Sus scrofa: one gene and its partner. The protein of the gene in region 2 interacts with the protein of the main gene of each other region in a pairwise test. Links are inferred from orthologs where the notes say so. Each region holds a gene or a part of one and is shown on either strand. Other genes may lie near its edges.

Region 1 (4,519 bases), on a different chromosome or scaffold from region 2:
CAGCAGTGACCTGAGCCACAGCAATAAAAACTCTGGATCCTTAACTCCCTTCATCACCAGGGAAATCTTCATTGTATTTATCTATTTATTTTTTCATTTATTTAATTTGGAAGTTCCCAGTTAGGGGTCATATTGGAGCTACAGCTGCCAGCCTACACCACAGCCACAGCAACAAAGGATCTTAGCTGGGAGCTGCGTCTGTGACCTACACCACAGCTCACAGCAACAAAGGATCTTAGCTGGGAGCTGCGTCTGTGACCTACACCACAGCTCACAGCAAAGCTGGATCCTTAATCCACTGAGCGAGGCCAGGAAATGAACCTGCATCCTCATGGATAGTAGTTGGATTGTTTCTGTTGCCACAATGGGAACTCCACATTGCATGTATGTATTTATTTTAGTGATTTTTATTTTTTCCATTATAGCTGGTTTACAGTGTTCTGTCAATTTTCTACTGCACAGCAAGGTGACCCAGTCACACATATACATATACATTTCTTTTTCTCACATTACCATGCTCCATCATAAGTGATTTGATATAGTTCCCAGTGCTATACAGCAGGATCCCATTGCCTATCCATTTCAAAGGCAATAGTTTGCATTGTATTTATTTTTATAGTTACTTCATGTTTGTGGGCAAGCAGTAACTGATTTTAAATTTACTAAAGGAATATTAAGTTTGGGCTGTATTCTTCACTTAAAACTGATATAATTTTTTTTTTTTTTGGCCACGCCCCAGGCATGTGGAAGTTTCTTGGCCAGGGATCTAACCTGCCTGTGCCACAGCAGCTCCAAGGCAGATCCTTGAACTACTGTGCCACTAGGGGGCTTCCGAAAAATTTTAACAAGAAGTAGTAGTGATTACTTGGATATGGCAAAAATCATGAGAATTTCCTGAATGTGGTTTATTGCATGCCCATTAGCGCTACGTTGAGACAGAAGCAAGTTTGAAGTTCTAGCCTCAAGTCAGTTCTGCTATGGGCATTAGCTAGAGAAAATCACAACCAATCCCTTCCTGTGAGATTTCCTAAGCATTTCTCCTTTATCCAGTGAATTCCCCAGGATAGGTAGGGAGTCGTAGACAGATTAGCAGTGCTGGGAATGAGAATTCAGCGGGAAGTCTAATCTTCCCGCCCTATTCAACTACCAATTACAAGCCAGGTATGGCTGGTGGAGATAGTAGTAGAGAAAGCTAGAGGGAGAAATGGACATAGCATGTGCATTTCCCAATCTCTCAGTCTGTGACTTTGGAGTCCTTCAATACTTGCAAGCAACATATTTAAAGCTTCCGTGGCGATAAGAGTAGGATCAAATTTTAGGACCTACAGGATGTGGTTGCTTATTTCCATATTGGAGGAGTTTGGATGGGGGAACAATGGGGTTGGAAGGGAGTTTCTGAAGTTGCGTCTGTACGTGATTTTACAGCGTACGTGAATTCAGGTGTCCTCATGAGTGGCTCGGTAGCGGTGGGGAATCCTAACCACAGAGTTTAGCCCCAGAGTCTTGCGAAAAGAACCTGGGGGACCATTTCCGCCGCCGAGATGCCCCGCCCTCCGTCCCTCCAAGGTTTCCTATGGGCGAGTTTGTCTCCCAAACCTTCCCCGCATGAGGTCACTCTGCCAGGTCACGTGCTCAAGCCCGCGGGAGCGCCACATCGCCAGCCGCACCCCTCCACCCCCACCCTGCCCACGTGACCCGGCCTACTTTCTCCCCACCCGACCCAACGACTTGCTCGGGAAGCCCCGCCCCACGCCGTGCGCTCTGCCTACGAACCTCCGCCTCTCAGCCGTCCGGGCTCAAGCGTGGCCCGTGGCCCCACGTGTTTACTCCTGTCCAATGGGAGTCGGAGTCCGGGAGCGAAGGGGCGGGGAGGAAAAGACGACTTCTTTACGCTGCGAGAAAGGGGCGGGGCTTCCAACGTCGTTCTGAGCGAGGGGACGCAACGGAGGCAGGCCGGAGCCGCTGCCGTCGCCATGACCCGTGAGCACCGAATCCCCCTTCTCTTGCCCCTTTCTCCTCTTCACCCTGCACAAGACTGCCAAATCTCGGCACTGACCTCCTTTTGGCTTCGCCAGCGAGACCCTTCTCTGGGAGAGGTCTATAGCGACCCTCACCCTAGCAGCCCGGAAATCGACCCTTCGCCCACCGCCACTTTTTGAGAACCTTACCCCCACCGCCCCTTCAGGCAAAACCCTTCCCAGACCTTCCGTGGTGTGGGGAGAAGCCCTGTGCCCCTGTGGTGGACCCCGAGCTCCTCTACTCCAGATCTCTGCCCATCCCCCACAGAGATCCATACCACGTACACCCACCACCACCACCACCTGTCTGGGCCCCCATGCTGCAACGAAATTCGAAACTTGTCTCTAGCAGGCTTCTCGGGACTGTCGTCCCTCGATTTCCCAGTTTGACCTGCCCCGTGGCAGCTTCCGCACCCCCCCTCCCCGCCCAATCTGCAGTCTAGGCCCTGAAAAACGGTCCCGTGTCGACGCCTGGGGAATGAAGTATTGGACCCTACTGGTGTCCCGGGTCAGGGAACAGGGTTGTCGGTGTGTGGCCAGAAAGGCTCTCGCGTCTCACCTTTTACCTTTTTTCTTTAGGCGGTAACCAGCGCGAGCTCGCCCGCCAGAAGAATATGAAAAAGCAGAGCGACTCGGTTAAGGGAAAGCGCCGAGATGACGGGCTTTCTGCTGCCGCCCGCAAGCAGAGGTAGCCCCAGGGAGGGGAGGGGAGGGTGGGGTGAGACCTGGGTTAGACCAAGGGTTGTACCAGCAAAGAGAACTACCTCAGGGCTTACCATCTGGACTAGTCGTGAGGGGCAGAGTGCATTGTTTGCTCTAGGGTTTTATTCCTCTCACCTTCTAAATTGTTAGCTCACAGCCATATAGGAACGGACTGGGGCTGGTGCTTACTCTCGGTCTGATTTGTGAGTGCCCCCCGGGTCTGACCTTAAGGGCAAGGGCAGGGAACTTCACATTTCAAATGCAGTAGTGGTTATGACAGCCCAGTCCTTTTGGCCCTCCTTGCAGTTCATTTGTCCTCCCTTCTCCCAACCTTTCTCACTGGTGTTGCTGGGTGTGGTACTTGGCACAGAATAGCCTTGGGCCTGTGTGGCCAGACTTCTGACCCCTTGGGCAAAAGCCAGATAGAGACTGATTGCCTTTTGAGCCTCAGCTCTCTTCCTCTTGTTCTCCTAGGGTGGGAATATAGCAGCCACACGCTGAATTTTGTCCCATCCACTTCCATCTTATCCTTTGTGCCCTTCATCCCCCTGCATCTTGTCCTTTTTGCCCTCTGGTACCTCCCAGTGCCCCATCATCTCTACCCCCAGGGACTCGGAGATCATGCAGCAGAAGCAGAAAAAGGCAAACGAGAAGAAGGAGGAACCCAAGTAGCTTTGTGGCTTCGTGTCCAACCCTCTTGCCCTTCGCCTGTGTGCCTGGAGCCAGTCCCACCACGCTCGCGTTTTCTCCTGTAGTGCTCACAGGTCCCAGCACCGATGGCATTCCCTTTGCCCTGAGTCTGCAGCGGGTCCCTTTTGTGCTTCCTTCCCCTCAGGTAGCCTCTCTCCCCCTGGGCCACTCCTGGGGGTGAGGAGGTTACCTCTTCCCAGTGTTTTTTATTCCTGTGGGGCTCACCCCAAAGTATTAAAAGTAGCTTTGTAATTCCTTGAGCGCCTGGTTTGACTGGGGATTTGGGGGGTTGGGGATGGAGGAATGGCTGCCTGCCCTTTCCCACCAAAAGGGGAGACCTTTAGACTCCAAAAGGTTGTGGATATGTAGATTAAGTGAAACGTCAAAGCAAAAATCCTTTATTGTGCTACAACAAACAGACAAATATGTTGGGTACGTGGTAGAGAAATCCTCTCAGAACCGTAGGGACTTCTTTTCTGTGATATCAGTCCCACACTCGGACCTTAAACACCATCTTAAGGATGGGGTTGAGGTCCTAAGAAGGAAGGCTCCAAGACCTAAATGTATGCCCCTCTTCCTTATTCTTCCTCAGTTTGCTCACCTTCTTGAAAGTTGGCCCAGATCCTGCTGCTCATTAACTTCCCATGGCTAGCTGCTCTCAAGTGTTCACATTCTCTTCTGTTCTGTCATTCCTCATGGAATGAGGGTGGTTTTTGTCTTTCCATTTCCTTTGACCTCAGCATCAGGATTAAAACCCAGGGTAGTCTCTGCTCCTTTCTTCCTGTGTCCTGGTTTGTTCTGGGCTTCTTACATCCCTGTACCCAGGGCTGAACTACTTATTTTCCTTTTTATCTTCAAGGGCAGAGCCAACTAAGTCTTCAGTCCCCATTGGTCTTTCCCTGCCCCCATCTCCACCATGAGAGCCAGGAAAGAGCTGGTGCCACACTGTCTGCTGGGATCAGCAGTGGTTCCTGAGCTGCTGACTTAGTTAGGCTCTTGCTGCCGAGTTAGGCTCTTGAGCTGGGGTGAAGATGTAATGCTAGCGCCGGTGAGTCAGATGTTCAGGGTCAGGGTGTGTATAGCCACTTTTTTCAAGTCGGATGTACTAC
Region 2 (4,305 bases):
AATGGAATCTATGTCAGAATAAGGATTTCTATTAGAGACTTGAAAACAAATTCTCAAACTATTCTCTGATAGAAGAATCACTAGTTCAATTTTGTAGCTCCAGTTCTTTGTTGAAAAGTAGACAGAAAGTCAAGATGATTAAATATTAAAAGAGATAGGCTGCAAGATTCTAAAAATAAGAGTTTTTAAAAGTTTGAGACTGCTTGCAACTATGGCAAACTATTTCCTTGCTGGAAATTGTCCACAGTTTGGGGAAAGATATAAGGATAAGTGAGGGAAACCTAGCAGTTACAATGCCCTCCAAAGTTTATACTGTAGCTGATGGGCTTCAGTAACCTACAATAACCTAGCCAAACAAATCACTACATTTGTTGATGATTTATTTAAAAATATAATAAGCTAGTTTAATATAAATCAATTCTGAATAAGAATATTCAACTTGAATATTTATAGTCACCTATTATTATTTTCCATAGAAATAGAAAATCTTTATAAAAATAAACATTTCATGTAGTTCCTGTTGTGGCTCAGTGGGTTAAGAACATGACTAGTATCCATGAGGATGAGGGTTTGATCCCTGGCCTTGCTCAGTGGGTTAAGGATCTGGTGTTGCCACAAGCTGAAGCATAGGTCGCAGACGCAGCTCAGTTCTGGTGCTGCTGTGGCTGTGGTGTGGGCTTGTGGCTGCAGCTCTGATTTGACCCCTAGCCTGGGAACTTCCACCTGCTGTGGGTGCAGCCCTAAAAAAAAAAAAAAAAGACAAAAAAATAAACATTTCATAAGAAATTATTTTACCTTTAGTGAACCAATTACATACTTGCTTAAGACTCATAATTTTGACAAGTATACTAACTATAACATTTCTCTTGAGCAGAAAAAAGTAATTCCATCCAAACTGTGAGAGATTGATCAGAGGAAAATAGCAAGTTAAAAATATCAAAGATTTTTTTTATTAAGTCAATGCTCCCTGAATTTTCTAATATGTGATATGGAAGCTTAGAAATTCTTCTATATATTCACTTAAAACATCCATGCTTGACTTTCCTGTAAGTGTTTATTACCACCTCCCAAATGAGGGTGCTGCAAAACATCTCACAAAATTATACCTCTCTAAGAGTGAAATAGCTAATTATATTATTTAAGCATATTACTGTTAAGATGCTTTATTCTGACTAGGACACTGGCCTTTTTTGATGATTGAATTCTAAATTAGGTGATAGAAAGCAATTTGTGACATAAGTCTAGGAAGTTATTCAAGAACCTGAGATAAAAGCTGGGATAAAGAAACAGGATTTCATAAAAGTTTTTTTTTTGTGTGTGTTTTGGCTTTTCTTTCCTTCGATGAGTGTTCTTTTGAAAATTACAATCACTCATTATTTGGGCTACTGAAGTACTATATAAAAATGTATAACTAGTGTGGTATGGTGAAATAAAGAATGTGCAGCTATGAGTCAGAAAACTAGGATTCTAGTCTTCACTTTGTCACTAATTAGCTAAGAGCCTATAGATATGTCATTGAGCCTCAATTTCCTTGTTTGGGAAGCTGAAAAATTATATATACTCTATTTAACCTACAAGAGTTTTTTTTTTTTTTTTTTTTTTTTTTTTTTCTTCCTGTTTTGGCCGTACCTGCAGCATACAGAGGTTCCCATGCCAGGGATCAGATCTGAGCTGCAGTTGTGACCTATGTGACAGTGGCAGCAACACCAGGTTAACCCACTGTGTCTGGCTGGGGATGAACCTGTGTCCTGGTGCTATAGAGAAGTCACCGATCCCATTGTGTCACAGCAGCCACTTCTGTTTAACACGGTTTTTTAAAAGATTTTTTATATATTAAGACAATTTGAAACCTACTAATCATTATGTGAATAGAAAATGTTTTTATAGTTGCACAAAGAAACAACTTCTGAGAAATAAAATAACTTCTAATACAAAAAATGCACTATGTCGCATGCATAAATAGGTACCTTAAAGTCAATTCCTCCTACAAAGATGCGATTAGGGATCACTGTTCCATATCTTGGGGCACTCGTTGGATTATTCAAAGGCACAGGTGACACAGGGTTGGGGGATGGAGACAAGGAATCTGTTTGCGTATGATTTGATGTTTGCTGTAAGACAAAATTCCTTTAAACTCTTAGAATTGGTTCTAAGTTTTGATGCAGGCTGGAAGCATATACCTTCAAAAACGTAAGTCATTGATAAAATGTAGTATATTAAACTTTACTTTTATTCTAGTATTATGAAAATTATAGTTAGAGCTAATAACTTTTGGGGTCAACAAAAATACAGGAAATATAGAATGTACTCCTCTACAGAAAAGATCTTAAACCTTAAGTATATTATTTAAACATAATAATATATGTTAATTATTAAATATACTACGTAAATATTATAAGTATTAAGGAGGAGGAGTTCCCGTTGTGGTGCAGTGGTTAACGAATCCGACTAGGAACCATGAAGTTGTGGGTTCGGTCCCCGCCCTTGCTCAGTGGGTTAACGATCTGGCGTTGCCGTGAGCTGTGGTGTAGGTCTCAGATGCAGCTCGGATTCCCGTGTTTCTGTGGCTCTTGCGGAGGCCAGTGGCTACAGCTCCAATTCGACCCCTAGTCTGGGAACCTTCATATGCCGTGGGAGCAGCCCAAGAAATGGCAAAAAGACAAAAAAAAAAAAAGTATTAAGGAGGAGTATTAAATTCAAAAAGAAGTTTGATAAGGAGAAAAGCAGCCCCTGGATATCTTAAGAGCTGGCCTGGCACAATCAACTAGGCCCTAGTACTGACTTTTAGGAGTTGGCCTGGAACTCACAGCTAAGCTGTGGTGTTCTCTTGTTAACAGAACACCAACATTGGAAAAGACTACTCTGTAATTATGATGAATCAAGATAAAAACCATACCTTTCCATAATCACATGTGTACATTGACAAAAACAAAAGCATTGTCCAAAAAAACAAGAATGACCAAACATCTTCCTATCCTGGCTGATAATAAGACTGACTGCTCCTTTATCAGTCACAGCTTTGGCTTCAATCTATTCTTCTTGCCTTCTATGTAAAAACTGACATACCAAATCGTAGAACTGCTCCCACTTCCTGACAAGATGTATTTCAGAGGAAAGCCTTCTTCCTTAAACCCTCTCTAAAAAAGTGCTTACATAGCCTAAATCCTATAACAACTTCCTTCTAACACCCTCTTCTTGCAAGGCCCCATGGTATACGTTTTTCCTTGTTGCAACAATTCAAAGACGCAAATTTATTTTATTTATTTTTAATTTTTTTATTTTTTTGCATCTTCTAGGGCCACTCCCGTGGCATATGGAGATTCCCAGGCTAGGGGTTGAATTGGAGCTGTAGCCGCTGGCCTATGCCAGGGCCACAGCAACGTGGGATCCGAGCCACGTCTGCGGCCTACACCACAGCTCACGGCAACACCGGATCCTAATCCACTGAGCAAGGGCAGGGACCAAACCCACAACCCCATGGTTCCTTGTCGGATTTGTTAACCACTGAGCCACGACAGGAACTCCAAAGATCCAAATTTATTAAACTACAGGTGTGTTCACGGTGGTCTTTGGCTAAAGGACACTGACAAGTGAATAGACTGACATTTAAGTTCATTGTTTTTCAACTCTAAAGTCAAAATTGTAAATGCACTTGTCAATTTGAAAAGTTGACAAGTGATTTTGTAAAAAAAAAATTATATACCTATAACTCATATAATTTTTATACCCAAGAATTGAGATCAGTGCATATTTGTAAACTCACAATCCTATGTCAGGTGACTTAATTTAGATTTTAGTAAAAATATACTAACATATAAGCCTCTGCATAAGGGCATGATAGTAGACTCTTAAGGTACATCTGAAAACACACACACACCCTCTACCCCGCCAAAAAAAACCCCAAACTACCAAGACTTGAGAATAGAAAATTGAAGAGAAACCAATTGAAGAACTTGCTAATTATTTTCCTTCTGGGAACACTAAACAGACTTCTGAGACATTCTAATGCACTAAATGAGTGCTTCAAAAAGGTTGAAATTCAGTTTAAATTCTCTGGGAAGCAAATTCATGAAAGTGAATTTCTAAGTTGTTCTTTTTCATGTTTACTCACCTTTCACGTCATTGGCCAATAAAACCATAATCCTTAATCTCTGCAATATGTACATAGAAAGGACTAGATCATTGGTGCCTATGGGGGCTATGGAATGGACTTATGGGCTACTCTCCACAAGGGTGAAAAACACTCTCCTAGTAAAGAAGTTCATAAAAACATCTATTAAACCACAAAGTTATCATATTTAATAA

What was found. The genes of interacting proteins can lie anywhere in the genome.
Region 1: the proteins of BOLL (region 2) and SERF2 interact in a two-hybrid assay, tested with the Homo sapiens proteins (2 studies listed by BioGRID and IntAct). The two-hybrid records come from large-scale screens. The link is inferred for Sus scrofa from reciprocal best matches to the Homo sapiens genes BOLL and SERF2.

What each region holds. Positions count from the first base shown.
Region 1 is NC_010443.5:127,764,911-127,769,429, reverse strand, and holds SERF2 (small EDRK-rich factor 2), read left to right. Parts: upstream 1-1,911; 5' UTR 1,912-1,973; coding exon 1,974-1,980; intron 1,981-2,597; coding exon 2,598-2,706; intron 2,707-3,328; coding exon 3,329-3,392; 3' UTR 3,393-3,670; downstream 3,671-4,519. UniProt on the Homo sapiens protein: Positive regulator of amyloid protein aggregation and proteotoxicity. Induces conformational changes in amyloid proteins, such as HTT, driving them into compact formations preceding the formation of aggregates.
Region 2 is NC_010457.5:101,595,289-101,599,593, forward strand, and holds part of BOLL (protein boule-like), read right to left. Parts: intron 2,112-4,305; coding exon 1,968-2,111; intron 1-1,967. UniProt on the Homo sapiens protein: Probable RNA-binding protein, which may be required during spermatogenesis. May act by binding to the 3'-UTR of mRNAs and regulating their translation.